3 linked regions of the Mytilus edulis genome follow. The protein of the gene in region 1 purifies or fractionates together with the protein of each later gene. This does not show direct contact. Links are inferred from orthologs where the notes say so. Each region holds a gene or a part of one and is shown in the gene's direction. Other genes may lie near its edges. The genes, in order: 1-phosphatidylinositol 4,5-bisphosphate phosphodiesterase gamma-1-like; ras GTPase-activating protein 1-like; leukocyte tyrosine kinase receptor-like.

Region 1 (10,725 bases):
GTCTTTTGATTCGATAAATATGGGGTTTAATTGACTTTTGAAAAACTGATATTCACTTCGGCCGTCGGCCTCAGTGAATATCAGTTTTTCAAAAGTCAATAAAACCACATATTTACCTCATCAAAAGACAGTAATTGTATATTATAACATCAAATTGTAAAACGCAAAATTGCATTTATGTTCTAACGTGTGGAACTTGCAAATTACAATATGTTGGTGAAACAGAAACACCATTTAACATCCGACTAAATAACCATCGGTAATTTAATACAAAAGAAAGGAACTTCCCAATTACAAGACACCTTTTAAGAGCAGGACATGATTTTGAAATCTTCACATTTCTAATCATTGAGAAAAATCAAAATTGGGATACACAACATGCACAAGGAAGACAAAAAAGAGAGAGATTTTGGATGCACCAGTTACGAACTCTTGATCGAACCTGATGGACTCAATGAGAGAGACGAACAAAGATTTAAAAGCAAATCAAAACCATAATTATCTTGAAATCATACAAATTAATTTATAGAAATTCATACAATTAATCGAACATCTATATAATAATAATATTAATCCATTGTTAAAGGAAGCTTTTTCTCTAGCACAGTCTCTAGATTTGACAGGAACTTACTCATGGTATACATATGCTAAAAATATTGTTAAAGAGACTAACGTTGACCTTAATATTCTTTCTACTTGTAAGGACATGTAACGTGTAACCAGGCGTTTATATCTCAAACATCCGTTCCAGTAAATACTTGGATCCAAGTTGTCCACAAACAATACGGTAATGTTAAAAACTACAACTATCTAAATTATGCACATTGTACTAAAATATACACACTGACTCTTTGTCGAAATAAAGTAACAACGGACAATTATATATATACAAATATAATACAATAAACCAGCCTGTCCTCAAGATGGGACGATGTGTCACTTAGAGACAGTATAGCTGGGATAGCTTGTCCTCCGAATGGGACAGTCTGTCAATACAAGACAGAGCGGTCTGGTACAACTTGTCCTCCAAGTGGGACAACCTGTCACTACCAGACAGTGCGGGCTGGAACAACTTGTCCACCGAGTGGGACAGTCCGCCTTGTCAATCCGTTCAACTTGTACGTTTACTTTGTACCCGGTACAAAGTGTCCTTTGAATATTAAGGCTCTTACTAGCGCTTAATATAACCAACGTACGCTCATCGACAGCCAACCGACAGCCCCGAATGCTGTTTCTCACTCTCTTATATACCCGGGGTCGATACCACTATTTACTTGATAGGGGTGTTCTCTAAATGTTATCCTCACGGAGCATAGAGAGTCCCTTACTATCACCCCTATAACTTTCGACCCGGCCACTTATTTTCCCGCCAAACGTCTAAATCTTCGTTACTCTTTCTCTAGCGTAAACCATGCATTTCTACACTAAGATTCTACTCAACTGTAACCTTAGCGACCAATAAACATTACATAACCCACGCCTCAATCTACATGCGTCCCGCATGTTATATTTAAAATTACAAAATTTAATTCAACAACATTTATACATAATTCAAATTTTACTTATTTACATTATCAGCCATACAGGCTGGTCGCTTACTCTCGTGACGACCATTGTCCTCTAATCTCCACGAGGCACGTTTCCTTTTCATTGGGCGTTTTCTCCTAGTACACTGATTGCAACCAGCAACATACGTCCTAACGTCGGATTGCAAACCAGGCCAATAGAAAGACGTATTTTCTCTATAGTTTTATGTATACCTAGGTGACCTGAACACTTTGTCTCATGACAGCATTGTAAAACTTGCTTGCGCTCAGACATTGGAATTACCGCTTGTAATTTCACAACGTTAAATTCACAGTCCATGTGGCGTCTAACTACTACATCACCATGGACTTCTAAACAGCCAAACTGACTCCATAATGACCTAATAAAGTATCCCCTACCGGATACCTCACTGTGCTGTGGCCTTTGACCCTCTGTCAACCAGCGCTTAACAAGTTTAAGGTCCGAGTCATTTGATTGTAACTCTATTAAAGCCAAGTCTTTACTTTTGTGCTGCATCTGACTTGTGACTATGTTGACCGGACTTTGTTTTCTCTTAGAACAATCACGGTCCGTTTTTGACTGTCTGTCTGATGTTAACCGACAAGGTTTTCTACAAACATCAGTATTTCTCGTTTTTGCACCTTCTAAGAGCAGGGGAACACTAACGTTATCAATATGTAATAGGTTAGCAGGCACGTCAATCAGACACTTATTTTTCTTCATAAAGTCTAAACCTAGAATGCCATCGACTTGTAAGTCAGTTACAACAGCCTCTGAAATAAACTTCTCATTACCAAACTCAAGTGTAAAACTACCCTTACCATTAAGGCTTAAATATTTATCACAAACTGACTTTATCTGGGACTTTGTTTCACTTAAATGTGGCCTACACAAGTCAGGTATTAAATCATACACTTTTGAAGAAACTATATTAAGTGTAGCTCCCGTATCAACCACAAACTTTACTGGTACATCTTGAATACTCAACTCCACAAAAATACCTTTACCCTCTGAAGCTGAAACAACATCGCCTTTGTCATTGTTTGAAGACTTAACTTCAGACTTCAGTGTCTTGACCGTACCGTCTGTATATGTTCCGTTGTTATCTGGAGCACTTTGCTTCTACTTATTATTAGGACATTTTCTTGCAAAATGCCCTATTTCTCCACAACTAAAACAGGGACCACACCTTTTCCTTTTACTTTGTGTGTTATTTATCTTCTCCCTTTGTTGGAACTTTCTTTGGGACTTTAAATCTTTAATCTCTTTTGCTATGGCCAGTAAATTATTCTGAATCGTTTGCATCCATGTCGTCATTTGTTCCATAGATACAGCCGTAACAAGACTATTAGGTGTTTCTGTCCGTTCGTCACCAGCAGTATGTCGTAAATGACCCATACTGTTCAGTGTTTTGCTCTCAGCCGTGTTATACGCTTCAAGCTCAACTGCCAATCGTATAGCATCGTTAAGACCTTTTGGACGGGACTGTTTAATTCTCAGTCTCATTTCGGAGTCTACTAACGCATCTATAAATTGTTCTTTGGCGAGCGTGTCCCTTAATTCTAACGGAGCAGTCGGGTAGGCCAGATTAGAAAGTCGTCGTACTGACTGACCTAACCCCGGCAAAGTCTCGCTTGCTTTTTGTCGACATTCCTTGAATTGAACTCGGTATAGTTCAGTTTGACTTGAAGGAGCAAAGCGTTCCTCAAGTGCATTAACTAGGTCTGAAAATATTTGTCTCTTTTCCTTTGGTAAATCACCAAGGACTGCTTGAGCCTGTCCAATCAGTGACACGGCCAAGTACAAACCTTTTTGGTGTTCAGACCACATATTGACTAGGGTACACATCTCAAAATGTGCTAAGTAATCTATCCAAGGAGTATTGCCATCATATTTTGAAGGTTTTATTTTAACATAATCCGAACCAGAGCAAACAGTATGAGCAGTACTTTGATTTTTCGTTAATTCCTGCTTGTGATGGAAATCTCGATATTTATTTTCAACAACCTTCGGACGTTCACTCTGATCTTTATGTGTAGATGATATTAAACCTTGTCCATATTGTATTGTGCTTTCGCTAAGAGACTGTATCTGTCTACTTATTTCCGCTATCTGATCGTCAATATTTGACATATTTATAGCAGTACAGTGTAATCAAAATAAAACAATTTATATTAAATAATACACCCGTGTTACAACTCAGCCGTGACTTACAACTATGCCTCACGGTTGGTTCACTTTTATCTTTCAAGTAAACACTGAGGTTAACTGACAATAAATTAAACGATCAATCAATCAAATAGTATTTGATAGACAACTTGAATCCCAACCGCTAGCCACCAAATATGTAACGTGTAACCAGGCGTTTATATCTCAAACATCCGTTCCAGTAAATACTTGGATCCAAGTTGTCCACAAACAATACGGTAATGTTAAAAACTACAACTATCTAAATTATGCACATTGAACTAAAATATACACACTGACTCTTTGTCGAAATAAAGTAACAACGGACAATTATATATATACAAATATAATACAATAAACCAGCCTGTCCTCAAGATGGGACGATGTGTCACTTAGAGACAGTATAGCTGGGATAGCTTGTCCTCCGAATGGGACAGTCTGTCAATACAAGACAGAGCGGTCTGGTACAACTTGTCCTCCAAGTGGGACAACCTGTCACTACCAGACAGTGCGGGCTGGAACAACTTGTCCACCGAGTGGGACAGTCCGCCTTGTCAATCCGTTCAACTTGTACGTTTACTTTGTACCCGGTACAAAGTGTCCTTTGAATATTAAGGCTCTTACTCGCGCTTAATATAACCAACGTACGCTCATCGACAGCCAACCGACAGCCCCGAATGCTGTTTCTCACTCTCTTATATACCCGGGGTCGATACCACTATTTACTTGATAGGGGTGTTCTCTAAATGTTATCCTCACGGAGCATAGAGAGTCCCTTACTATCACCCCTATAACTTTCGACCCGGCCACTAATTTTCCCGCCAAACGTCTAAATCTTCGTTACTCTTTTCTCTAGCGTAAACCATGCATTTCTACACTAAGATTCTACTCAACTGTAACCTTAGCGACCAATAAACATTACAGACATAAAAGATGTAAATAAAATAAAAAACGATATAAAGTTAAAAATGAAAAATAGATATGAAGATTTAATTCAAAATAAATTTCAAAACATCGATGATAAAAGTAAATTTTTTCTCTATAAAAAACTTAAAAAAGATTACAAACTAGAATATTATCTAAATACATCTAATTTTCAGATAAGGAGATTAATCACCTAAATTTAGAATAAGTGATCACTCCCTCTTGATTGAAAAGGGGAGATATTTAAAATCCCAAGAGAGGAACGTCTTTGCCATAAATGTAAAATACTAGAGGATGAGAAACATTTTTTACTATATTGTGAGTATAATAAAACTCTAAGAAATGACTTTTTTCATCACATATGTACAGAAAATAATAACTTTAATAATTTAAATGAAGAAGAAAAAAATCATTATTTACTAAATCCATCATCGCCTTTACAAACAAATAAGTTAGGATCCTTCTTGAAAAAGTCATTAGAACTGAGGGCAGGGGACTCTTAACAACTTGTTTGTTGTTATAAATTTTGAGGCCCCTCATGGGGGGTCCTAGTAATCACATAATCACCATTTTTTTGCCAATATAATCACATAATCATTAAATATTTGCTTATCTTTAGTAATCAAATAATCATAAACTAAAAATACAGTCCTAGGTAATCAAATAATCATGAAATATTTGGCTTAATAATCAAATAATCATTAAAAAAACGGCCAAGTAATCACATAATCAAAAACCCCACGAGGGCCCTCAATTTTAATGCTGTTGATATTTTGTATGTTTAATATGTATGTATATATGTTTATTGTGTTTAATGTATTAATATATGTTGGTCACAAACTGTAAAGTTTATATGACAATAAAATATTTGATTTAAGGTGGTATGGGTGTCTTCCTCCATCTTGGATTGTAAAAAACAGAGAATCAAAGGTCTAGATTTTACATCAAGTTAGCAAAATTTGATGCAGGAATGCAGATGTTTAATGTACATTTTCATTTAAAAGTACCAATTTATAAGAATATAACTTCTAAATATTGATATTTTTGCAAATGTTAATTATTTTTGGTTGTTTTTATCTTTTTTTAAAATTGGCATTTTAAGGGGAGGTAACTCTTAAAAAGTGCATTTTCTGAAGGATTCTGTATGGAATGTTCCTATTTTATATTTTAGCCGGAAAAAACGTACGGTGACCCTATCTTTTCTTTTGATATTCTCAAAGCAGTGTCTGAAAGCTATCTTTTCCTGAAGTATTTAACAATTCTATCATTTTGTTTAGTTTCTAATCACAAAATGTTGTTTTTTCCTGTATAATCCATACAAAATGTGTCATTTTGTCCCGTCCTGTAGCTTGAGAAAATGCGCGATGACCTATCATTTTTATTATATTTTTCAACATGTATCAATAGATACAACATTTTGGCAAAGTATGAACAAATTCTATCATTTTTATTTTAGACTCCCATACCACCTTAATTTGATTTATATAAATGTGTTAAACTTTTATTCCAACTTCATGTAGTTGTAGCTACAAACATATTTTTTGTAATATGTTACACTTTTCCTCAAATCTTGTATAGATTAAGCTACAAAATATATTTTTGTCATGCATCCGATTTCACCTTGAGAGATGCATACGCCTGATGAAGCTAATTTGTTTAGCGAAATGTTGCGTATTTCTATCATGACAAACTAAAATACATTAGAGTTAGCTCCCTTGTGCAACAGGTGCCCGTAGTTATCGCCCTTGGAAAAGACGTTCCCGGAAGGTAATCCAAAAACCTAAATTCACATATATCTTGATATATATTTAAGTGTCAAAAATGAATAACAAGATGAATAAATAAAACTCTTCACGATAAAACATGTAGACAAGGATACGTTATGACATGTGACTAGAAAAAAGACTAATTAATGAAGGGAAGTAAACAAAGCAACAAGTTCCAAAAAAATGGCAGCACTTTACAATGGGAATCAAATAGAAAACGATGATTGGGCCAGATTCAGAAGTTTGGAACGTGGACTTGTTGTGACAATATTTTTTGGAAAGAATAAAAGACCTGAGAAACGAACTTTGCAAGTTAGAATAGAAACGAGACAACTGGTATGGATACGAGCACAAGGAGGAAAACCAGAGGGTTCATGTAAGTTCATTCAGTGCAGCTGATGCTGATGATGGGATTTATCCTTTTCAAATCCTGATTCAATATCATATATATTTATAAGTGTATAGTGATGGCTCACAAAGCATAAACAAATGTGTAATTTATAATGTTTATGTCAACATGGTCAAGTATTCTACATTGTCATTGATCATGTTGATCTCAAATAATTATATGACATCTAGGAAGGCGCCATGTATTTTTAAATTTTTGCTTGACGCCTTCCTGCGACATGTAATGTAAGGCGCCAAAGAAAAATATATAATTGCCTTTCAAAATGTCATATTTTTTATAAATATTTGGACTAACGTAGATCCTGGTATTGAAATACATGTACATGTATATACAAACAAACTAACAAATACTTTATTTGCCAACCTCCAATCCAAAATGGACAGCAAACTTTAATGTTGTGTTTTGTGGTAGAACCGGTGTTTGCATTTTATTCTTTTTTCTTTTGCCATGGCATTGCAAGTTTTTTTTTCAATTGAACATGTTGAACATGTTCAATGCCTCTTTGAAATCTTTTGATACTTTTTGGAATTTTAGATAATGCATGTATCCAAGCTACTGTTCTGTTTTAATAATGTTTTCCAATATTTTGCAACTGTTAACGTTGCTTCTCAAATATGAAAATCTGTCCCATATTCAACATGACTGCAATGCAATAATATACTGTGAAAGGGCCTGCATGAATTACAATGTACATGTATGTCATGTCTGGTAATTTTGTTTGTTTGATAAGTTTGTTCATTTTGTTTGATCTGCATTACATGAACACAACACAACAGACTTTGGGAGTTGTAGACACTGCTGTCCAGAATGGTACACAGTACAGCATAAAGTGCAAGTACCTGCCAACCTCTTGGAGCCATTGAGTTTGAATTCTCCCGCACGCTATCTACACTACAGAGGGATATATATGCATATCATTAATTCCATATTCCATTAAAGATTTACAATAAAGTTCTAATTAAGCATCAATGGAATCATGGGAATTAGACATTATTTTAACATGTTTAACATGTTTAAATTGTCCAGTTTAAACAGATAATAGATTTAATTCATGTAATTAGCATACTTAGTTTAAACACACTCTTGTAGTTCATTTTAGTTGGGGCCCATACTGAATATATATGTAACGAAAAAAGGTTTATGAATTTTAAGAATACTAGTAATAACTATATATCATGTATATAGTGGTCATCCATTACAGAAACAGATTCCATCATAGAATCTTGTACAGTATGATGTTGATGTATCTCTGCTCTTGATATTTAATTAAATTTGAATATTTTAATGGCTAAGCAAGACTCCTTTTAAAGTTGAAAGGGGAACTGCTTCATGGAGAAATGTCACACTTGATGCAGTGGTAGAATACATTCATGTACATTGTACTTACATTTGTTCATGTATTTCTCTAATTCTTACTACATTTTACTTTTCCTGACCAGTTATTTTTTAATAATTAGCGTGTGGTTTGTTTGCTCTCAGTTCTTCTTGGGGTCTAAATTCAATTATGTCATGATATACATGTCAGATATTCCTGTCCTCTGAAAATCTTATTGTGACATCATGAAAAAGGCCAATCATTCCTGACAACATCACAAATAAAGAACACATGCTTAAATGCAGAGCATTGGAAAAAAGATAAAAGTTTTTCTACCATGTCTGACATATCCTCTAAAATTATTAGAGAAACTGATTACACAACCAATCTTGTGCAAATGCCAATATGATGGCTTCAAACTGAAATTAAAACACCAAAATGACAAGCAACATGTAGGTACATGTTACTTGTATGATCTACAAATAGATTTGCAAGTATATACCCAGTATAGTCTTTTTTGCCTAGTCTATGTAAGATAGAATTGAACTGTAAATATGGAAAACACCAGAAATTGTTTGCAAGATTATGAAGATCCACAAGTTGGTTTTGAGGTGGAAATTGTCTAGGGGTTGATCCAGCCCGTCTTAAAAAGGGTGAGCGGGTTACAACTATACATGTATGTCCCTATTCAAAAGCATTGATCATAAAAAAAAGGGGGGTTCTAGATTCCCCTACCCCAGACCCATTGTACACATCTAGTTTTTTAAATCAATTTTTTATTCAAAAGTCTCTGTGATATCTTCATTTTAGATAGATTTAAATTGTATAAACCTGATCCTAATAACATTAATTTTTGTGGCTAATTATAATTTTACTAATTTTTACTGGCATTTGTTGGTAACTGAAAAACCAGAAATATTACTACAAAATGAACTGCAAAAATTTTACTACTACAGGAATTTACTACCAAGGAAATTTTTATAGTATTTGGCTTTGTGATAACCATCTTAGTAGGGAAAACAGGAAAACCTATTCACATCTGATGTAAGTGATGGGGAAGTTACCCATGTCTTCATCTTAAGCTTACACGCTTTTTCTTAATTATGTTGTAAAATGTTTATGATGATACTTTTAGCTAATTTATTTTCCACATGTCCAAATAACATATGCATGTACTGGAAATTCAGAAATGAGCTGGAACCCCCCCCCCCCCCCAATTTAATGCTACTGGAGGAAATTATGTATTAACAATATTATGCATGTTTTTATGTAAATTGATGAAAAATTAAATTAGTTGTTGATAACAAATATATACAGTAGCATAAAATGTATTTTTCAATGTTGACAATTTGGATACTTTAACCTGTAATCTGGTAATTAAAACAGACTTTAACAGAGGCTGGGCAATACTTTGCACATGGCATGCGGACTTGCCTTTGATGTGGGTCTCATTGGGGTCTAAGCGTGATGCGGGATTGCCGATTTTTTGTAAGCGGGACACGTGAAAGTCAAATTATTGTGGCGTGAAAACGGGAAATGAGGTCTAGCGGGACCCGGGAAATGACAAAAAAAGTGAGAATTGCTTATGTACATAGTGTAAGCGGGATACAGGAATCTGACAAAACAATAAGCGGGATCTGGGATCGGAACCCCCCAATGAGACCCCCTTTGATTTTTAGTGGTTGGCAGTCAATTAGTGATTATATGATTATACGTCATTAATTACAATTGATAATCTTAGTGTGAAAAAAAGATTTGAAACTTGTTGAATAAGATATTTTAAACATTTAAGAGTAGTAATATTCAGTTGTTGTGATTATACAATCTACTTGTACAATGCACAATCATTACAAAATTTGATTAAGCAACTAAAGACCTTTGGAATTTTTCAATTCACAAAATTTAAAGAGACAACACAAACTAGGATGTAGCTATCCACAGAAATGCATGTATATAATGTGAAACATGCACAATGCAAAATATTAAAAAGCTATGTGTTATGTTTTAAATTTGGGAACATGAGTTTATTATTTGGGGTCAATATATATATAAACTGTACAAGTTTTAAACTTTGATAATGCCATACTTTACAACTACAAGATCTATACTTGACATATTCTTTTTGATCTGAATTCTATAAGTTATCATATATGTACATTATATAGTGTACAAAATATTTGATATATTTGTGACCGAAATATTGCATTGTTGACTTTTTATTGAATTTCATTTTTCAGTTGACATGTTAGGTATTTTGTGCATATAAATCTATAGGTCGAATAGATATTGAATTTAAAGTGTTTCTTTATCTTGCAGATATTATTGATTTTTTTTTAAACTGATTTATGTATATATCTGTCTAAGGAGTTGTATAGTAAGATATACAAATCCTTGATCTGTCCTACTAAGATCAAAGTTGAATTAATATACAATCTATATATTATACATGTATGATGCATAACATTTGGCCTTTTCATTATATTGGGTTTAACAAACAAAAAACTGTAAAATTACATTCTAAGAAAACAATTAACTGAATTAATATTCAACTGAAAGAATTTATAAGCCTTATAATA
Region 2 (11,124 bases), on another chromosome or scaffold:
ATAATTAAAGGCGTTAAGAAACCTTTGGTGACCCCACAGTTTGTATGTCTATCATAGGTACGTCGTGAACAGTGGTCGTTACAGACAAACGTTCACGTAAATTGTCCCAGTCAATGGATGAATTTAATGTGTCAATCAATGGCCACAGCTACACTGTTTTGAATTTCATTCTATGTTGAGTGTACTTAATAAAGTACTCATATTGTAAGTGTGCTAAATGTTTACAGCAAGTTTAATATTAGCAACTAATTTGGCATTATATTGTTATGCTTTACTTAATTCTGAAACCCACCACAAAGTATATAAATACAGTTTCACTTACTTTTTCAACTCAGATTTTGAAAATTCCTTTTTTATTTGAATTCATTTGACCTGAAATACCATTTTGTTTGCAAACTATTACTGTTTCATTACATCTTATTTTTGAACTTTTACTATTCTTTTTCATTTCATTTGACTATGATTTATATGAATGTTGTCATTTGTAAATAAATTGTTGGTTCTATTTGATTTATGTCTCAATTCTGCCAAAATCTGATATCAGGTATCCAGAGGATCAAATAGGCAACTACACATTCCAGGAGGGTTACACTGACTGTCCCCCTACTGTTATTCCAATACTGAATATAAAATAAAAGAGTTCTAATGTCCCCCTTGTTGCACACATTTTTGGAACAGTTTATAAATATCTTAGAAAAATGGAGGATTCAAAGCAAATGTAAATTTTCTTTTTCTTATACTGAACTTTTCCAAGGGGCATAACTTGTTAAAAATATTTGATCAGCACTGATTTTCAAAGAAAAGGGTCTAAGACATTGCTAATATAAATCTATATATTAATGATATATCAGTATAATAATTGTGTGTATAAATAAGGCTCATCTTAAATTATTTATCGCTTCAACTGGCAAAAATAATAAAGACCCTACATACTAACTTGAATGATGCACTCCTTGGTCTCTCCCTAGTTTAGTCACTGTTCTTTCATCTGATCTATTTCTGCACATCTGTTAAATATAAATACAAATTTACATTCTTGCCGTCCCTGAAAGGACATCAGAAACAGCTACCCAATAAGCAAGCTTTAATAGATATATTGTGCGCAAACTTTTAAAAACCAAAGAAAGTAAGCCAATGGTACCTTTGCACTATAAGCATTAGAAAAATAGCTCTAATGTAAAACATATCTTACAGTAATGATATCTTTTAGAAAAGTGTTTTTCCTGAAATAAAACATTTTTATTAGTGGTAAATTGCAAATTTCAATTCCAATTATTCTGTTCAGAACTCAACCATCCCTGCAGTAAGTTACTGTAACTGGTTGTTTTTATTAACATCAATTCAATTGTGCTATAAAAAACATCTTCCTTTGATATTTTTGCAGTTGTTGTGTACTAGTATTAGATTTTTATTTTATCTTGATTTTAAAATTAAATCAAAAGGTCAACTTGTAACTTGGTACATATATATTCATTTCGATGCACCATAAACTAATTACTTTAAAGGATTAAGGAATGAATGGACTGAAAGGAGCATAGGCAAGAAAATATAATGCTGCTTTTCTCTTTTAACATTTTAGACAGAGCGTAAACAACTGACATTTCTAGATATGTAAATTACCTTTACGAAAGGATTCAAAGCAATGAACATATTGAAGATTAAAGTGCAAATTAAATCATGATAGTACCTGCATGATGAAAATTTTCTGTTTATCTTTAACGTCTTCAAATATTTTCAGCAGCTCATTTACTTTGTATCTGTTTGATCGCCATGCAATTTCTAAAGACACTTCAATTCCTGTTTTGTCATTACCGGTACTATCTTTTTCAACAGTGTCTTGTTCTTGTTCGACCCCATGTGAACTGACAGCTAATACAAGATATTCATATCCTCCTTCCTCAAATGTATTTTTCACTGGCAAAAAAATAGTGTTATACTATATACATTACATTACAACTCTAGGTTTCCTACCTATCTATTTTATTATGACAGCAATTACATTTATTTTATAGTGAGCTAGCTTAAGGTGAAGGTTAAAACCCAGCACCATTTGTTTGCACCTGTCCTAAGTCAGGAATATGTTGTTCATGCAGTGGTTGTAGGAAGTTTGTTGATGTGGTTCTTGATCCTTGTTTTTTATATAGATTAAACCATTGGTTTTCCAGTTCGAATTGTTTTATACTAGTCATTTTGGGGCCCTTTATAGCTTGATTTTTGGTGTTAGCAAAGGCGTCTTGATGAAGACCGTACTTTGACCTATAATAGTTTACTTTTTATACATTGTGACTTGGATGGAGGAGAGTTAATTTTCTCATTGGCATTTATCATTTATGACTTTGAACTTTGACTTTTTAACTAATTCCTATATAAACAGTTTTAAACGACAGACCATGGTTATTTAAAAAATAATAACATTTTCCGTATCAAGTTAGTAAGTTGGATAAAACAATCGTACGATTTCATTGACACCGACACGCAATTACGACTTCATTTGGTTACTGTAGTTTATGTCCTTTGTGGTTTATAGACATATCGTGGCTCCTAATTGGAAAGGATGACAAAATGGACACATGCAGAGAATTGATACTTTAAATTTAAAATCAATGGTGATATCACTTATCTAGCAGAATAAAACTTTAATATTAATTTATGAATTTGAGCATTTTTATACAGAATGGACATAATATCAATTTTTAATTTTTTGGCGAAGTTTCCCTTGATTGTTGATTGATTGTTTCATAACAATAATCTCACGTGGTTTGATTTATAACTTACAATCCTTTAACTGTTTTTTAAAGTCTTCTGCTTTTCTAGGTGGGGTATAGTTCTTCATATCAATCTTTTCAACTTTACATCCTTCAACCTGGCTCCAGAAGGCTTTAAACTTTTCATAATTATCACTTGCACCATCTTCATTTAGAGGAAATATTTTGGCTAATATGCTCATTCCTCTTGAATGTTATTGTTGTGGATTCGAAAGTTCCTCTGAAATATTATTGTTGTGGATTGGATAGTTCCTCTTGAATGTTATTGTTGTGGATTGGATAGTTCCTCTGAAATATTATTGTTGTGGATTGGATAGTTCCCTCTTAAATATTATGGTTGTTGATTGTAAAGTCCTGGAAAAATAATAAAACATTATTTTTGGATTATCTCTACAAACATGATAAAATATTATTGTTCAATGTATCAAATCAATGATAAATCGAGGACTTTTTTTTTATACTGCTCCCTTTCCTTACTAGTCCTGATCAGTCCTGCTGACTTCATAGATTTGACTAAAATGATTTTGAACTTGATTTGATATGATTGATATATTGTTGTTTGCTTATTTAAATTGTGTAAACTCAAGCGTTCTGGTGGTAAATATTCGGTTGTCGTATCTAGGTCAAATATGTCAATTTTGGAATGCAACACATTACAGTCATAATAAATGAATTAATAACAATATGTGCATCATTTAAGAGTTTGGAAGTGTTTGAATTTAATGAAATATATTAAATGCATGCCAATTTGATAAAATTCATTATTCTGCAGTAGTCAATATACGCATGTGCAAAAAAAAATATTGGATTTAGAGCATGCATGGTTTATTATCATAAAGCGAAAGAAACACGTCATATTAAAATCAAGTTTTTTCTATAATATCTAATTGAAAAAATAACTCTTGACAAAAAAAGTACCATACTGAACAGAAAAGGAAATTAAATTTGAAGGAAAATTATATTATGTTTGACTCCAGAATATCACCAAAATCAGGCTTTTCAATTGGTATGAAAGTTGCACTTACAAATATATGCCAATTAGTAACAGCTAGGATACTTGCAGATTCAAATAAACTATAGTGATTCCAACATTTATTTGGACAAAGATTCTACAAATTTTTCATCAAAATTGTTTTATGGTTGTCAGACTGTTTACAATAAAGGAAGAATCGCTGAGAAATGTTAAAGAATTTCAAAATTTATTTGAGTAGAAATGAAGAGAATTTTTTTAACTTATGGACGAAAAAGTCCACAGCCAGGAAAAAGAGTCTTTAGATTAACATCTGCGAATGAATAAAATAAAATATACATAAATATTAAAACAATATATAAAAGATGAAGAAATTCACATACTGAAGTAGCTATAGTAACTTGTGTTGTTTTGGGTTGAGACAATGAGGGCAGTTAAATGTGGCTACCTTCAACATGTTCAAGACGAAAAACAGTAAAAATTCTTGCCAAACAACGTTAACCGTAATGGTGCACGACTTTTAATGTACTTTCTAGAAGACGATAAAAGATTCGATTGAAATTGACTATTCATGTTTTTCGTTTACTTTTCTACATTGGCTAGAGGTATAGGGCAAGGGTTGAGATCTCATAAACATGTTTAACCCTGCCCCATTTTTGCGCCTGTCCCAAGTCAGGAGCCTCTGGCCTTTGTTAGTCCTGTATTATTTTTAATTTTAGTTTCTTGTGTATAATTTGGAGTTTAGTAAGGCAATCATTATTACTGAACTAGTATATATATTTGTTAAGGGGTCAGCTGAAGGACACTTCTGGGTGCAGGAATTTCTCGCTGCATTGAAGACCTATTGTGGACCTTCTGCTGTTCTGTTTTATGGTCAGGTTGTCGTCTCTTTGACACATTCCCCATTTCCATTCTCAATTCTATGTTAATTTTTTTATTAACATAATGGTAACAATATTTATTTGAGATCTCTGACGAATCACAATGAGCAGATAAGGATATTTGGATGAATCACAGTAAGATTTAAACCAATTTGACGCTAATGGTAGCCAAAAATAACCATTAAACGACTGACAGTTAGTAATTACTATCCTCGAGAATGAGCTGTACGTGTGCACCTGCAAAAACTAGATTTTTTTTGAAAAAAATACCTTTCCTCTTTTTGCTCGTTTCTATCAGGGACAGCCTATACTAACTATAAAGAAGAATAATCTGTCCCTGTTTTATGCTCAGACAGAGACATGTAATTGTATTAATTTAAATGTCTCTTGACTCGGGCGATGTATGTATGTACATTTGTATGTACTGGTAAATGCCTCCGATATCCGAAGAACCCCTTGAAAACTGCGAGGGTACAGTGGCATCCATGTACACTCCCTAACGGGATTAATGGAGATGTGTCACTAACGTATGTTTATACGACAATTATTTTTCCAAGGACAATCAATCCCCACCCAACACAAAGGGAGTGCTAGGACACCGGGCAGTCTGCAATCTAATTAAAATTAAATCTCTCACTCGCAGCGACCAAGCATTAAAAAATGAGCGAGTGAGAGATTTAATTTTAATTAGATTGGGCAGTCTGTTATTATGGTGGAGGAAGCCGAAGTACTCGGAGAGAACCACCGGGCCACTCGGTGGAAACAGACAAACCAGAGAGATATCAGAAGATTGATCTCCAGGTCAAAGTAAGGGACAACTTTGACCAACCCAGGCCCCCAAAGTACACATTCTAGTTTAAACTCCGGTCTGGGTACCAGAGATGTGTGTGAGAGGGTGAAAATTACCCTTCTGATGTGCTGATATTTTTAGAACCCCGAGTGAGAATCGAACTCGGGACCTTCAGCACTGTAGCCATCGGTCTTAACCACTAGACCACGAACTCACACTAATGTCTACTTTCGGTTTTGTAAATTACACATTATTTTAAACATGTTTAAAACAGTATCAGCTTTTCAACCCTTTTCATATTTCCCATTCCTTAAATCATATTTTGATTTTGCTCGACGTACCTTCTTCTTTTTATTCCTCTAGTTGTTTTGTTCCCTGATATTTATTATCAGTATGCAGTTAGCAAAATTTCTACTTTCTGTTTAATTCTTAGAGGACGACAACTCGCCCCCACTTTTCAACCCAAGAGCCAACTCACCCTATTTCCCCAAATTCGCCCCTCTCTTTCTTTTCTACATCGTAAAATTCGAAAATTTGCTCAGTCGAAAGGTCTAAACACCTGGTGAATGAAAACCTAAATAATTGAAGCTGGAGTGAAGAAGAACATTAATGTTCTTCAAAATTATTTCAAAAGTAAAGGTCAGAACTGATGAATGAATCTGCCAAATTTGGCGGGAAATAATTTTGTCCAATCAAAATGTAGGTGCTCATTCATCTTCGTAAAAGTAACAATGGCCGACAAAAACAAATTTTCACCATCAACAAGTGGTCACAGTCTGTCCAGCCCTGCATTGAGCCCTGATGACACAACGACAGAAAATGCAGATGATGAAGATCCTTCATTAGAAAACCAAGATAATGTTGAGCAGACACTGTTCATCAAAATGAATGCGCCACCCGAAAACCGGTGTGTTTTTCGTTTTAAAATTTTCATTTTGTACATAAATATTACAACGTAAAATCACATAGATGATTCAGTCACTGTTTTTGATAATCAGCATGATTTTTGCAAAAATATTTCAAATGCAGGCGAAGTTAAGAAAACAAAATGTCTATAAATTAGTTGACAGATCCAAATTAGGATAAATTATAATTATTTCCTGGTAAAACAGCAAATCATAATATCCTTTTAATGGGCTTTAAAATCAATTGAACAAATTTATTATCAATATTTGAAGTCGATGCCTCCTCAAAAATCATTTGGCTTATTAAAAATACGATAATGTGAGCTAGGGAGACTTATTTATTTTAAAAGAACTGATTCGGGGAAGCTTCAAAATGGTACATGTAGCTCTTAGGTCCTTATGTTATGATATTTTGTCTATTTGCGGAATAGAGCTACGGTTCTGCAACTAGGACTTGCATATTTCAAACTGCAGTGGTACTGTCGACTTATTATTTACTCATCATGCTATGTCATGTCCCAATCTTACATGCAACCAGCGCATACCATTTTATTGCACAAAGAGGAAAATATGCTGAGCAAAAGCACAAAAGAGAAAACCTGCACATTGGGATAGTTTGTGCCAACATGCCTTAAGATTGAGCATTTTAGGATCTACTTCAAATGTCAGATCCATCCCTTAATTTATAAATTGGTCATTTAAATATGTTTTCATTTTTTTCTGTTGTTAACAATGACCATCGATATATCACACCTGCTAACTCAACTTTAAACCAGGGAGATTCACCCTCACCCTTCTTTGACATAGCTGTTTGGGTTGAAATATTGCAAATCTACAAAAATGAGAGATCATTGGGATTGCACCTTGTCCATTTTTGGTTTAAATGCAGTGATCGGGAAGGACGTGCGCCTATAGCACATATTGACAAGAAATGGTGCATACAGTGACAAATGTAAGCGCCCACGTGGCGCATGATATTTTTCACTTTGTTTCAAAATGTTTAGATATCGTCAAATGAATTTCCGATCGTGTTCCGTGCCGCCATGTGTGTGTACACAACTGTGTAATGTTCCTCCAATAATAGGAGCACCTATATATTTTTGGGACGTCTCGGGTGTTTCCCTATCATAATAGAACCATGCGATTTAACGTCTCGGTGTTTTCCTATTGTAATAATAGAACCTTGCGGTCTAACTGATAACCCGAAAAACGTAATTAACCATCATTCATGATATATTTGTTTATAAACAACTTTAAATTTGTTAAATATGGCTAGTACAGACGAGATTTAACTCTAATAATAATCTCATTTAGTTTAGCTTATTATTATTTTGATTGAAGAACCCCAAGACTTTTTAGGAATATAATTTTTGTCTCCATAAAAGACGCCTAACTGTCCTTGTCATTTTTTGGTCTTTGGCTCGTTTTCACATTTTGTAAACATGACTTCAGCGATTTGTTGTTAATGTACAATGTATGTTCTATGAATGGTACTATATATGTTATTCTTGTCACTGTGATGAAGTTATAATAATACAAGAAGTGCAGAGGAAATGCCTGAAATGTCCTCTGATACGGAATGTCTCGAATAGGTATGGTATCGACGAAGACCCAAATTTAATGTACAAAAAAAAACCATGAACATGAACAAGGCAACAGTACCAGTTTAAACATTGTAAATAAAGGTTGACTTAAATATTGTTGGGGTTGGAAGAAGTTATTGTATGCTCATTGAAATTGAAATAATAAAATCACAGGAACAATATCCATGATTTTATTTAAAATCATAAAGGTAAGTATCAACACCTCTTTGCCAAAATATACTGATATCTTTTTTTTTACAGAAGTCAATTAAAATGGCCCACTCATTTGACAACATGGCCCATTATTTTTTAAAATGGCCCATTGAATTTATTTTTGAGGGGCCCAGGGCCCATAGTGAGAAAAACCTTCCAGATCACTGTAAATGTCCCATTCTGATATTCCAAAGGGGTCAAAGAGACACAATAAATTATTACTAGCACATACTTATGTAACAATGTGCGTCTGTTCATAAAAAAACAAATTGGGATTATCTTGTCAAAAATGTTTCCTTCATGGTCAGCATTATATATTGTCACTTGAAATATCTCAGATTTTCTTAAATGACACAATAAAATACTAGAATCCTGAATATTTTGTTGACAAAATCAATTCAGCCTATGATTTGAATATCAATTGATCATCACTTAGCATCCCTGGCCCCCTAATGGCCTGTCAGGGTACAAGGCCTCTGATTGGGTTTAGGTGGCCCCCTTATCCCTAATTGCAATCCTACAAATGTCTCCTTCCAACATGTCCAATTTAGATTGGAGGGTGTTTGGCCAGTAATAGTGTTTGAATCAATGAGTATCTAGACTAAAGTTTTCTAGCAAAATGACTTTTTCGATGCTGAAAAACATGCATAAGTATTGTTATTATTTGTTAATTTTTCATCTATTTATCATGTTATAAATGTATAGAAATATCTTTCTTGTACATCTAGACCAATGACATTGTCGACTCATTGAATAAAAAGTAAAAAAAAAAAGAAATGGAGGCATGAATATTACACTATATACATGTTTGCTTTAATTTTCTCTTTGTTAAATTTAATCCTGGCATGGTATCAAAGATGAGTTTATTTGTACTCATTATATCATTCTGGAAAGTTAATCATATACATGAGCAGTCAACAATCAACTGGAAAACAAAAGCAGAACCAAAATCCCCTCAATTATTCTTTCAACTGATATTGAAAATATATACATGATAAACATGCTATAAATATATGTAAACACATTAAGTTGGAAGATTGAAGAATAACCAACTTGACGACAATCTTTTTTTCTAAGGGCCCATTTTTAAATGGGCGTGCAACATTTACAACAAAAAGATGTAAAAAAGAAATTCCTGAATCTATCATATGTATGCTATTTGTTCCTCTATGAAAATGAAATAAAATGAAAGTATGTTAATGAAAATTGTGGATTTGTGGAATTAAAGCTTTTCTTTTTGTTGCAAAGGATTATTACTGTAAATTAATATTACCTCAGGGAATAATCTTGCAGCCAAAATGTGGATTAAGCTTAATGCATAAGTTAACAATATTTTCAAAATCGCTTTAACTTATAGCTAAGTATTAAATTGTTGCCATCAAAATCAGTATAAAGGCAACAACTAGCTGAAGTGATCTTCAATTCACACAGGTAAACAAAAATGGTGACTATAAAGGAAAATCAAGATTTTTGAAACCAATTTAAACAGGATACGTGGCAAGAAGTGGTTCCATTTATTAATCTACCTAGCGGTCTGATGACTCCTCAAAGAGTTATTGCTCAGGTTGAAATGAGGATTTTTGCTGATTTAAAAGTTTTTATGCTCTTGAAGGGGGCTTAAAAGGTTTACCCTTATCTATCTGTATGCATGACCTGAAATTTGTTTCTGTTTTCTTACTTAAGTTTGCCTTAACCAAATGAAACTTTTAACATAATTCCTATTTCTACCAAACAGTTGAAATTTGAATTTGGCTGGTGTTAGATTCACTGTTCCTAAGTTATGTCCCTTTATAAATGGAAAAACACCTGAATTTGCTGATTAACACTCTACTTTGCCTCAACCAAATGGTATATGAACTTTCAACACAAATTATTACCACTAACACATATCAAGATTGAATATGGGTGGCATTACTTTCACTGTTCTCAAGTTATGTCCCTTTATTGACTCTTGTTTATATATTGTAGTTACAAGTGGGGGTAACTTTCGTACCATTTATTTGTGTGTGTCCAAAGTATAGAAATTCTATAGAGAAAGTGTAAATGATAGATATTATCAGTAAAATATTATCTACAAAAAATGAGCCTAACTCTCAGTAACTCAAGTAAAATTTGAATTACAGCAACCTAGTTCAGTAATTCTTTTTGTATCCAACTGTTAGTTATGTCTCCTTTTGTTGACTTCTACTGTCTTTTCTTTTTCTTTTTATACAACTTTGTTTGGGTTAAAACTATTTTTTTATCTTTGTACACAGGTTTATAATTATATTATTGGCATGAAGTTGAAGTACCCTAATACTGTGTGTATCATATCACCATGACCTTTATGTAACCTTGACATTTGACTTACAAGTCAAAATACTTGATTATATTCTTACATTTATTATATTGGTGGAAAAGTCATATGTGATAATTATACCTGCAAAACACTATAAACTAATTGGTTTAAAGATGTGATACAACATGTACAATATAGCAATGGAATGTCTATTTGTGTAAATGAATGTCGGTATTATTTTCATTGTATGCTAAATAAACCAAATACGTTTTTTCCTGCTCTGGTTTCTGTGGGAAACAATTCAAATTAATAAATAAAATAATAATTGAAACAATAGATACTATTTCCTGGACAGGAAGAAGTGATTCATCATAGAAACTATCTACAAATATTTGGCATCCTTAAATTATCATGTTAGTTTGAAATATGCTTATAACTGTTGTTTAATTAAATAAAATCCATAAAAGCAGTGTACCCTACTAGAAATTTAAAAGCATCTTGGCAAAGAGCATGTAGAGGAAAGTTTACAAAATGTAGTTGTTGAAATTCATGATCCAGGATAAACTATCATAGAATTTCATATTTACTGTACAATGAATTAACAGTGTTACTATTGAATTATGTTACCTTGATGCTAAAAGAGAGAACAATGTGTACCTAGTATGTAGCATAAATTATTTGATGTGATGTTTTTAGGTGGTATCATGGTTGTCTGGGGAGACAGAAAGCTGAAGAAAGA
Region 3 (10,500 bases), on another chromosome or scaffold:
CTAACAACTTAATCTTCTGCATATGAATTCCATATGGACTTAAATGTGACTATATAATAACAATTGATAGAACTTTAGATAAAGCAATTTGAAAAAATAATGTTGAAACCTTGGAATTTTATTTCTATAAATAGACCAAATTGCTCTTCACGTTGTTATTAACTGCAATCTGTACAAAGGAATTGATATAACATCAGAATGGTGGTTAATCATTAATGCCTGGTAAAATATTGAACATGTGTTTAGTTTGTAGAAACTGTCAATATTCATAGCGTTTAGGCAATTTAGACAATTAATTGCTTGGACTTGAAATGGCACTTTCATTTGTTTTACTTAATTGCTGACATAATAAAAACAAGTGCTTTGTAAATTAATTATTCCTGAAGCAAATATTTGATAACAAACAATATTTGTTTTTTTACAATGATTTCAGTTATTTAATAATACTCTTTAATAAACATTGACCCTATATGTTGTGTCAGGAAGGGAATTTATTTCCAGTAAATTGAATTTCTCACAGAACTACAAATACAATATAGATTATATAAGGAAAGACCATTTTGTAATTTTTTTATCAATTTTTTAAAAAGCAGCTGCTAGAAATATTTCCAGTAAATTGAATTTTTCACAGAACTTAACAAATACAATATAGATAATATAAGGAAAGACCATTTTGTAATTTTTTCATCAATTTTTCCAAAAGCAGTTGATAGAAAGAGTTGATACATAGGAATTTGTAATGAAAACTGTAAGGGATATCTGTACTTTATGTTGAATTAAAATTTGAATAGTGCAGTAGTCCTTTACCAGATAAAAGTTTTTGAGATTCATAAGGCATCTTAATAAACCAGGTGAAACAATAGATTGCTATTGTTATTTATCAATATTGCTATTGAATTCATGTTTGGAGGACATTTTTGCACATTAATAGGACATTTGAGCGCAAAAAAATTGGATGTTTTAGAGCCAAAGTAGAACCCATTTCAGCGCCTAACTTTTAACCCATTTTAGCGAAAATTAAAATTGTCAATGTCTATTTTAGGTAAATATTTGAACCCATTATGATATATGATAAATATTTAACTTTAATAAGACTCATTTAGACAGCACAATATTGAACATATGATGTCCATTAAAATAAAGCACTAAATGTATCAAAGATTTAATCAAATGTTAAAAGTTCGTTCTAGCAGGAATATATATCCTAGAGAACGTACGTAATGGGCTCTGGATAAACCTCCAGTATTTACAGACCGTGCAAGGGCTGTATAGTCAGTCAAGGTCATTAAAAACTTCCATTTGTTGTAGTATACAACTATTGAATTGTATAAGGAACTGTTCTTTCTCTTTATCTTGTCTAGATTTTGGTGCACATTCATCTATACTTTATGGTTCTTAAAAGATTGAAATATGGCGTTTCCAGTCCTGTCTGTGCATTTACTCATGAACCTGTTCAACCTAAGCTTTTCAAATGTTAATTTTGTTACTGATTACAAAATGGAAGTCAACTTCAATAATGATGATTTTGACTTTTACCGTTCAGGAGTTATGGTTCTTGAAAGATTGAAAAATGGTGTTTCCAGTCATGTCCATGTATTTCCTCATGAACTGTTCAACCAAAGCTTTTTAAATTTAAATATGTTGTTACTGATGACAAAATTGAGGTCAAGTTCAATAATGGCGATTTTCATTTTTCCTGTTCAGAAGTTATGGTTCTTGAAAGATTGAAAAATTGTGTTTCCGGTCATGTTGATGCATTTACTCATGAACCATTCAACCAAAGCTTTTCAAATTTAAATATATTGTTACTGATGACAAAATGGAGGTCAAATTTGATATTGACGATTTTCACTTTCACCCGTTCATCAGTTATGGTTCTTGTGATATTGAAAAATGCGGGACACAAATGAATGTTAATAAATCCGGTTTGCTTAAAAAGTATAAGAAAAGAAAAGTTTAGGGGTAAATTTATACGCTCTAGAGTGCAGTGGATTGAAGAAGGTGAAAAACCTTCAAAGTATTTTTGCGGTTTTGAATAAAAAAAATTTACAAGCAAAATAATTCCCAAAGTCGAAAAAGATGATGGGAAAATTATTACAAACCAATTTGATATTTTAAAGGAGACAAAATACTTTTATGAAAATTTATACAAAAATAAGGATACTATTGGCAATGGGTGTAAACTGAGTGATTTAGAAAGAGATTTGAAAGATTTAAATTTTAATAAATTATCTGTGGATGAAAAGTTGAATTTAGAAGGGGAGATAACTATTAATGAAGCTAGCATTACTTTACAGAAAATGAATAATAATAAATCACCAGGGTCAGATGGTTTTTCCACAGATTTTTATGCCCCACCTATGATAGTAGAGGGGCATTATGTTTTCTGGTCTGTGCGTCCGTTCGTCCTTTTGTCCGTCTGTCTGTCCCGCTTCAGGTTAAAGTTTTTGGTCAAGGTAGTTTTTGATGAAGTTGAAACTTAGTACACATGTTCCCTATGATATGATCTTTCTAATTTTAATGCCAAATTAGAGTTTTTATCCCAATGTCACGGTCCACTGAACATAAAAAATGAAAGTGCGAGTGGGGCATTCGTGTACTGAGGACACATTCTTGTTTAAAGTTTTTCTGGAAGGATTTGAAATCTTTTGTTGTTAAATCTTTAAATTATGGGTCAAATTTGGGACATTTATCAGTGACTCAAATGCAGTTAAACATTACATGCTTACTAAAATACAATAAACCAAGACCTATCTCCTTGCTTAATACTGTATACAAAATTGGTTCAGGGGTTATTGCTAGTAGATTTAAAAAAGTTTTATTGGGGATAACATCAGATTGATTTACAATCTTTTACAATATACAGAAGAACATAACATTCCAGGTTTATTGATTTTAATTGATTTTTGAAAAAGCATTTGATTCTCTATCTTGGGACTTTTTGGTGTCAGTGTTGCAATGTTTTTATTTTGGTGAATCTATTATCAACTGGGTTAAAGTTCTATAATAATATCTCATCTGCAGTCATTCAGGGAGGAAATCTTTCAGATTTTTTTCAAATAGGACGTGGCTGTAGACAAGGGGATCCCTTATCACCCTACCTTTTTATACTTTGTGCAGAGATTTTGGCAATTAGAATACGGGGGAATAAAAATATTACTGGCATAACTGTGACTAGGATAGAACATAAGTTATCACAGTTTGCAGATGATACTTCACTTATTTTTAGATGGAAGTGAACGGTTCTTAAATCAAACTTTAAATGAATTAGATTAGTATGCAAATCTCTCAGGGCTAAATATAAACTTTTCTAAAACACAGGTAGTTTAAATTGAGAGTAAACGATACTGTCCAAACAGAAATTTATCCTGGGGTGCAACATCTTTTAAGTTATTGGGTATTAATTTTGATGTAGATCTTGATAAAATTATTAAAATCAATTATAATGAGAGAGTTTTGCAGATAAAAATCTAATCAAAATATGGTCAAAAAGAAATCAGATTGGGAAAATTACAGCTGTGAAAACTCTGAATTACCTGTCCTTAATCCCCTTATAATTACATTGCCAAACCCAAATCAAGAACTTGTGAAAAAAGTCCTAGAATGTACATGACAGAATCATGGAACTATGTAGACTTCAGTCCCAGACTGTACATGACAGAGTCGTAGAACTATGTAGACTTCAGTCCTAGACTGTTAATGACAGAATGATAGGACTATGTAGACTTCAGTCCCAGACTGTACATGACAGAATTATAGAACTATGTAGACTTCTGTCACAGATTCTACATGACAGAATCATAGAACTATGTAGACTTTAAACCCAAACTGTACATGACAGAATCATGGAACTATGTAGACTTCAGTTCCAGACTGTACATGACAGAATCATAGAACTATGTAGACTTTAAACCCAGACTACATGACAATCATAGAACTTTGCATACTTCAGTTCCAGACTGTACATGACAGAATCATAGGACTATGTAGACTTCAGTTCCAGACTACATGACAGAATCATAGAACTATGTAGACTTTAGTCCTAGACAGTACATGACAGAATCATGGAACTATGTAGACGTCAGTCCCAGACTGTACATGGCAATCATAAAACTATATAGACTTCAGTCCTAGAATGTACATGACAGAATCATGGAACTATGTAGACTTCAGTCCCAGACTGTACATGACAGAGTCATAGAACTATGTAGACTTCAGTCCTAGACTGTACATGACAGAATCATAGAACTATGTAGACTTCAGTCCCAGACTGTACATGACAGAATTATAGAACTTTGTAGACTTCAGTTCCAGACTGTACATGACAGAATAATGGAACTGTGTAGAGGTCAGTCCCAGACTGTACCTGACAGAATCATAGAACTATTTATACTTCAGTTCCAGACTGTACATGACAGAATCATAGAATTATGTATACTTCAGTTCCAGACTGTACATGACAGAATCAAAGGACTATGTAGACTTTTTAACCCAGACTGTACACGTCAGAATAATGGAACTGTGTAGATGTCAGTCCCAGACAGTACATGACAGAATCATAGAACTATGTAGACTTCTGTTCCAGACTGTACATGACAGAATCATAGATCTATGTAGACTTTAAACACAGACTGTACATGACAGAATCATAGAACTATATCAATGTCAGTCCCAGACGGTACATGACAGAATCATAGAACTATGTAGACTTTAAACCCAGACTGTACATGACAGAATCATGGAACTGTAGATTTCAGTCCAGACTTGACAAAATCACTGAACTATGAACATGTAAGATTCTTATTGTACATGATGTCAATTACAATGTATAATATTCTTGTTTTTCTATGGATACAATATTAAGTAGAATGATATTTTACAATACAAGTTGGACTATTCATAACAAGAAACAAATAGTAGATTGAATTTTAACTCCTGGTTTTATTATCATTGTAAAGTCTTTGATTAATTTTTCAGGTTCTATTGTTTCAAGTGAGGAAGTGGCCCAGAATACTTCAAGAGAGGAAATGTTCAAATTATAGATCCAAAGGTTTGTGGAATTTCTGTGTTATAACTATGTAATATTGCGGTTGTATGAAGGTAGGTACATGTAGCTTTGGTAACATAATATACAGTTTTGAAGAAAACCATTTAGAGACAAACTTTTATTGTAAAAATGTTGTAAGTCTGAAGAAAACTATTTTTATAAATGACTTAAATATATGGTATATTCAAATACAATAATACGATTAAGTTTAGAATGATGGATCTTAGTTTGAAGAATATTTAAAGATCAATATGGAATTTAGATATGATAGAAATATTGAAAGCAAATAAAACTTTGACACTGAACCATTGTTTTTTGTCTGGCCAAGAAATTAGTATGGACAATAAAAATACTTTCTCCACCAAACTTCAGATTTGAATGACGTATGTGAAATAAATTACATCTGGAGAACAAATGGTAGATGATGAAAATAAATGGCTTTTACATTTGGTGTTTTATTGAAAGTGATAAATGAATAGTGAAAACAAATTGGTAACACTATTTGTTTCATAAATGATAAACTGATGATCCAAATATACTGAATACTAAAACTGTGTCGGAGCTTTTTCATCTTCTTGGCACATTATACAGATTTTTTTCTGATTCCAATTAACCACGGATATATCGACAAAATATTATAAATGGTTCTGTGTTTTGTTAATGCTATCTGAAACTGGCACCAAATTATTAAATGGAAATTGTATATAAAAAATGCTTTTACATGAAAAGTTAAGTTAATATGATATCAAAAGCTCCTAATGGACAGCTTAATTATGTAGGTTTAATATTTGTACAAGTATAGTCATTTAAAAGGTTCTGGAAATTAGACGATATATCAATAAATACAAGGAAACAATAGAGAATATCTTGTCATTGATAAAACTCCTTCTACAGCTTTCTATGACATGCTTATTTACATCAACAATGATCAATGCAATGACTGTGACAGACAAATAAAAACCAAAGCAAATCGGCCACAAATTGATTGGAAATTCTTTCAATTGGAAAATATTGTTGCTCTTATCTAGAGTTATTTGATAAATGTAAAAATCGTCATTTACCAACACTGACTCTCGACATATTGCTTAGTAATCCCTCAAATGATTTTTGTACTTAACCAAAGTAATACAATTTCATGTGAGCTTAACTTCAAAAACTTTCCTGATCAGATTGTCTTTTCTTAATACGCAATTTTATAGAAAACAGGTGAATCTATTGTGGATGAGAAAATCATCATAATAAGGTTCAAAGGCTGAAAATGTTACTATATAATTGAATACCTGTTGGATTTTACTAATATTGATTTTATTGTGCTTTTTGATATTATTTTATAAATCAGCAATACTTGGATACTAGCCACTGAGCAGGACAGACTATGGTTACACCTGTTATATTCTTGTTAATCAATTTTGGAGTCTCGTTATGTTACCTGTGTGATGTTGATTCTAGTTGTGAATTAAAATCTGATAGAGAATTATGTAAAGATAGTAAAAATTGTAAAACTTACAGAACTTCTGAAAGTTCCCATGGGTTTACTGATTCTAATGGATTGGAATATGATATTTACTCCAAAAAAGGTAGGAACAAATATTTAAAGGAAAGTTCAAAAATTGTTTTAAATTTGAGTGAATGTCTTGTTAGAAAAGATAAACTCTGATTAATTGACCATTTTTTTGGAAGTTCAAATGGAAAAGTTCAGTAGGTTAGAAAAAGCTTGTAGGTTGGTATTTCAACATTTTCTTTTTCTTTTTCATCAGTGTTTATAAAAAATTGTTGGTCTTTTAAAAAAGAAGAAGTGTTTCATACAGCAATTCAATTGATAACTACAGCATATCATTTGGGATTAAAAAAATGTAAATAATTGCCTTCTATGGTAGAGTTCATAATTACTTTCACAGAAAAAAGGACACTGTTTTAGGAATCAAAATAGTCGACCAAAACCATCGAAAGCCCTGTGTATTCAGGTTTAAGTAGCAGTAGACAGAGTCCAATATGTGCCCTTGAAGGTTCTTACAATATTATCACATATTTCTAAATATATGACCAAATTATTAATACCTGAAGATAGCTCAAAACTGCTTGTTTGGCAGATTTTGTCAAACTTTGAGTATCTCCAAAAATGTATAAGAATGCCACTATTTACCAAAACTGAATTCTGTTCTAAGTTAATATTAGAATACCTTCGAATTCAACATGAAGCAGTGAATAAAATTGATTTTATGGAAATATATAAAATTTGTGAGTTAAATAATTAGAGTTAATTAGGTAGACTATTAATTATTATTCAAATTTCAGGAAGATTTGATTTTTGACTAGCATTTTGTTGACTGAATTTGTAAAAATTGATTATACTTGATTCAATAAAGGTTTGGGAAATGAGGAGCTTTTATAAAACTTGTAACAAGATCAGTCCATATCCTGGAATATAACACCATCACTGTTAACATCAAAGAAGTTTTATCTGACAAAGCAATATCTAGGCTTGTTAAATGCAAATATATTTCTAAAGAATGAGTAAATGTACATGTTAATTTAAAAAATAAAAAAATTAAGCTAAACATACTCTCAGTATAGTACACTATTAATTTATAAGCCAAAATAAGTGATATGAATTGAGGATAAATGGAGATTTAGGGAAAGTGGAATTGGCTGCTATATAATAGAATGAGATAACAAATATAAATATAATGAGATGTGACATATTGATGTGGTATATTTGTATTAGTGAAAATTTCTGTAATTTAGTTGATAAGTAATAATAGCTAGATTACAATAAATTGGAAGAATATATAATTATCAAGTTAAGGGTATTAAACAGAAGAATATATAACTATCAAATTAATGGTATTAAAATAGAAGAATATCCCTTTAGGAGTTATTGCCCTTTATAGTAAATTTTTAACCATTTTTGTCGAGCCTTCGACTTTAGTCGAAAAAGCGAGACTAAGCGATCCTACATTCCGTCGTCGTCGGCGGCGTCAACAAATATTCACTCTGTGGTTAAAGTTTTTGAAATTTTAATAACTTTCTTAAACTATACTGGATTTCTACCAAACTTTGACAGAAGCTTGTTTATGATCATAAGGTAGTATCCAAAAGTAAATTTTGTAAAAATAAAATTCCATTTTTTCCGTATTTTACTATAAATGGACTTAGTTTTTTCTGCGAGGAAACAAAACATTCACTCTGTAGTTAAAGTTTTTAGAATTTTAATAACTTTCTCAAACTATCCTGGGTTTGTACTAAACTTGCACAGAAGCTTGTTTATGATCATAAGATAATATCCAGAAGTAAATTTTGAAAAAATAAAATTCCATTTTTTCCATATTTTACTTATAAATGGACTTAGTTTTTTCTGCGGAGAAACATTACATTCACTCTGTGGTTAAAGTTTTTAGAACTTTCTTAAACTATCCTGGGTTTGTACCAAATTTGGACAGAAGCTTGTTTATGATCATAAGATAGTATCCAGAAGTAAATTTTGTAAAAAAATAAATCCATTTTTTCCATATTTTACTTTTAAATGGACTTAGTTTTTCTCCAGGGAACCATTACATTCACTCTGTGGTTAAAGTTTTAAAAATTTTAATAACTTTCTTAAACTATCCTGGGTTTGTACCAAACTTGGACAGAAGCTTATTTATGATCATAATATTGTATCCAGAAGTAAAGTTTGTAAAAAGATTACTCAGTTTTTTCTGTAATTTACTTTTAAATGGACTTAGATTTTCTTGCAATCATAAAATAGTACATGTAACAAGAGGAATATTTTTATTGATTTTTTCCCTCATTGTTGTTGAGTCTGCAATTTACAGCAAAAATAGGCGAGACACTGGGTTCCGCGGAACCCTTACAAATTTTTTGTAATCTTAGTTATTTTTTACAAAAATCTTCTCCTCTGAAACTACTGGGCCAAATTAAACCAAACTTGGCCACAATCATCATTTGGGTATTTAGTTTAAAAATTGTGTCCAGTGACTCGGCCAACCAAGCAAGATGGCCACCATGGCTAAAAATAAAACATAGGGGTAAAATCAGTTTTTGGCTTATAACTCAAAAACCAAAGCATTTCGAGCAAATCTGACATGAAGTTAAATGGTTTATCAGGTCAAGATCTATATGCCCTGAAATTTTCAGATAAATTGGACAACCCATTGTTGGGTTGCTGCCCCTGAATTAGTAATATTAAGGAAATTTCGCTGTTTTTGGTTATTATCTTGAATATTATTATAGATAGAGATAAACTATAAACAGTAATAATGTACAGCAAAGTAAAACCTAAATAAGTCATCATGACCAAAAAGGTCAATTGACCCCTTAAGGAGTTATTGCCCTTTATAGTCAATTTTTAGCAATTTAAAATTTGTAAATTTTCACTAACATTATCTACTGTAACTACTGGGCCAAGTTCATTATAGAGATAGTTGCAAGCAGCAAGAATGTTCAGTAAAGTAAGATCTACAAACATATCACCATCACAAAAACACAATTTTGTTATGAATCCATCTGTGTCCTTTGTTAAGTATTCACATAGACCAAGGTGAGCAACACAGGCTCTTTAGAGCCTCTAGTTCTGTATTTTATATTTAAATGGACTTAGTTTTTCTGCTGGGAAACATTACATTCACTCTGTGGTTAAAGTTTTTAAAATTTTAATAACTTTCTCTAACTATCCTGGGTTTGCACCAAACTTGGACAGAAGCTTGTTTATGATCATTAGATAGTATCCAGAAGTAAATTTTGTAAAAAAATAAATCCATTTTTTCTGTATTTTACTTTTAAATGAACTTAGATTTTCTGCCAGGAAACAACACATTCATGCACTCTGTGGTTAAATTAAAGAAAAAATTAATAACTTAATTTCTTATACTATTTTAAATTTGTACCAAACTTGGACAGAAGCTTGTTTATGATCAAAAGCTAGTATCTAGAAGGAAATTTTGTTAATATTTTGTACCTTTGTATCTGTATTTTACTTATAAATGGACATAGTTTTTCTTCCAGTTAACATTACATACAGTCTTCAGTTAAAGTTTTAAAAAACATTTATTAGATTCATAAACTATCCAGGATTTCTACCAAACTTGGACAGAAGCTTCTTACAATCAAAAGATAATATCAAGAGGAATATTTTTATTGATTTTTTTCCTCATTTTTGTTAAGCCTGCGATTTACAGCAAAAGTAGCAAGACACTGGGTTCCGCGGAACCCTTACAAATTTTTCTTGTTTGCAATTTAGTGTCTGGGACTAACAAATATGCTTACAATAGACCTGAGGCTGAGATTGTAATCAGAATGAAAACCTATGAGCTGTAATTGTATCAAGCATAGATACTCATGACCTTTTACCACCAAGCAAGGATATTTATGACCTGTTACTATCATGCATGGATACTCATGACCTTTTACCACCAAGCAATGATACTTATGATCTGTTACTATCATGCATGGAT

Evidence for each region.
Region 2: the proteins of 1-phosphatidylinositol 4,5-bisphosphate phosphodiesterase gamma-1-like (region 1) and ras GTPase-activating protein 1-like purify together in Homo sapiens (affinity purification with western blotting; 3 studies listed by BioGRID and IntAct, with this or other methods). This does not show direct contact. The link is inferred for Mytilus edulis from reciprocal best matches to the Homo sapiens genes PLCG1 and RASA1.
Region 3: the proteins of 1-phosphatidylinositol 4,5-bisphosphate phosphodiesterase gamma-1-like (region 1) and leukocyte tyrosine kinase receptor-like purify together in Homo sapiens (affinity purification with western blotting; 3 studies listed by BioGRID, with this or other methods). This does not show direct contact. The link is inferred for Mytilus edulis from reciprocal best matches to the Homo sapiens genes PLCG1 and ALK.

The regions. Positions count from the first base shown.
Region 1 is NC_092348.1:47,715,193-47,725,917, forward strand, and holds the start of 1-phosphatidylinositol 4,5-bisphosphate phosphodiesterase gamma-1-like, read left to right. Parts: upstream 1-6,361; 5' UTR 6,362-6,608; coding exon 6,609-6,801; intron 6,802-10,725. UniProt on the Homo sapiens protein: Mediates the production of the second messenger molecules diacylglycerol (DAG) and inositol 1,4,5-trisphosphate (IP3). Plays an important role in the regulation of intracellular signaling cascades.
Region 2 is NC_092347.1:29,164,147-29,175,270, forward strand, and holds the start of ras GTPase-activating protein 1-like, read left to right. Parts: upstream 1-6,103; 5' UTR 6,104-6,137; coding exon 6,138-6,313; intron 6,314-11,081; coding exon 11,082-11,124. Other genes in the region: uncharacterized protein, read right to left, coding at 938-1,007, 1,688-1,914, 2,776-2,947. UniProt on the Homo sapiens protein: Inhibitory regulator of the Ras-cyclic AMP pathway. Stimulates the GTPase of normal but not oncogenic Ras p21; this stimulation may be further increased in the presence of NCK1.
Region 3 is NC_092346.1:97,157,910-97,168,409, forward strand, and holds the start of leukocyte tyrosine kinase receptor-like, read left to right. Parts: upstream 1-6,298; 5' UTR 6,299-6,422; coding exon 6,423-6,624; intron 6,625-10,500. UniProt on the Homo sapiens protein: Neuronal receptor tyrosine kinase that is essentially and transiently expressed in specific regions of the central and peripheral nervous systems and plays an important role in the genesis and differentiation of the nervous system.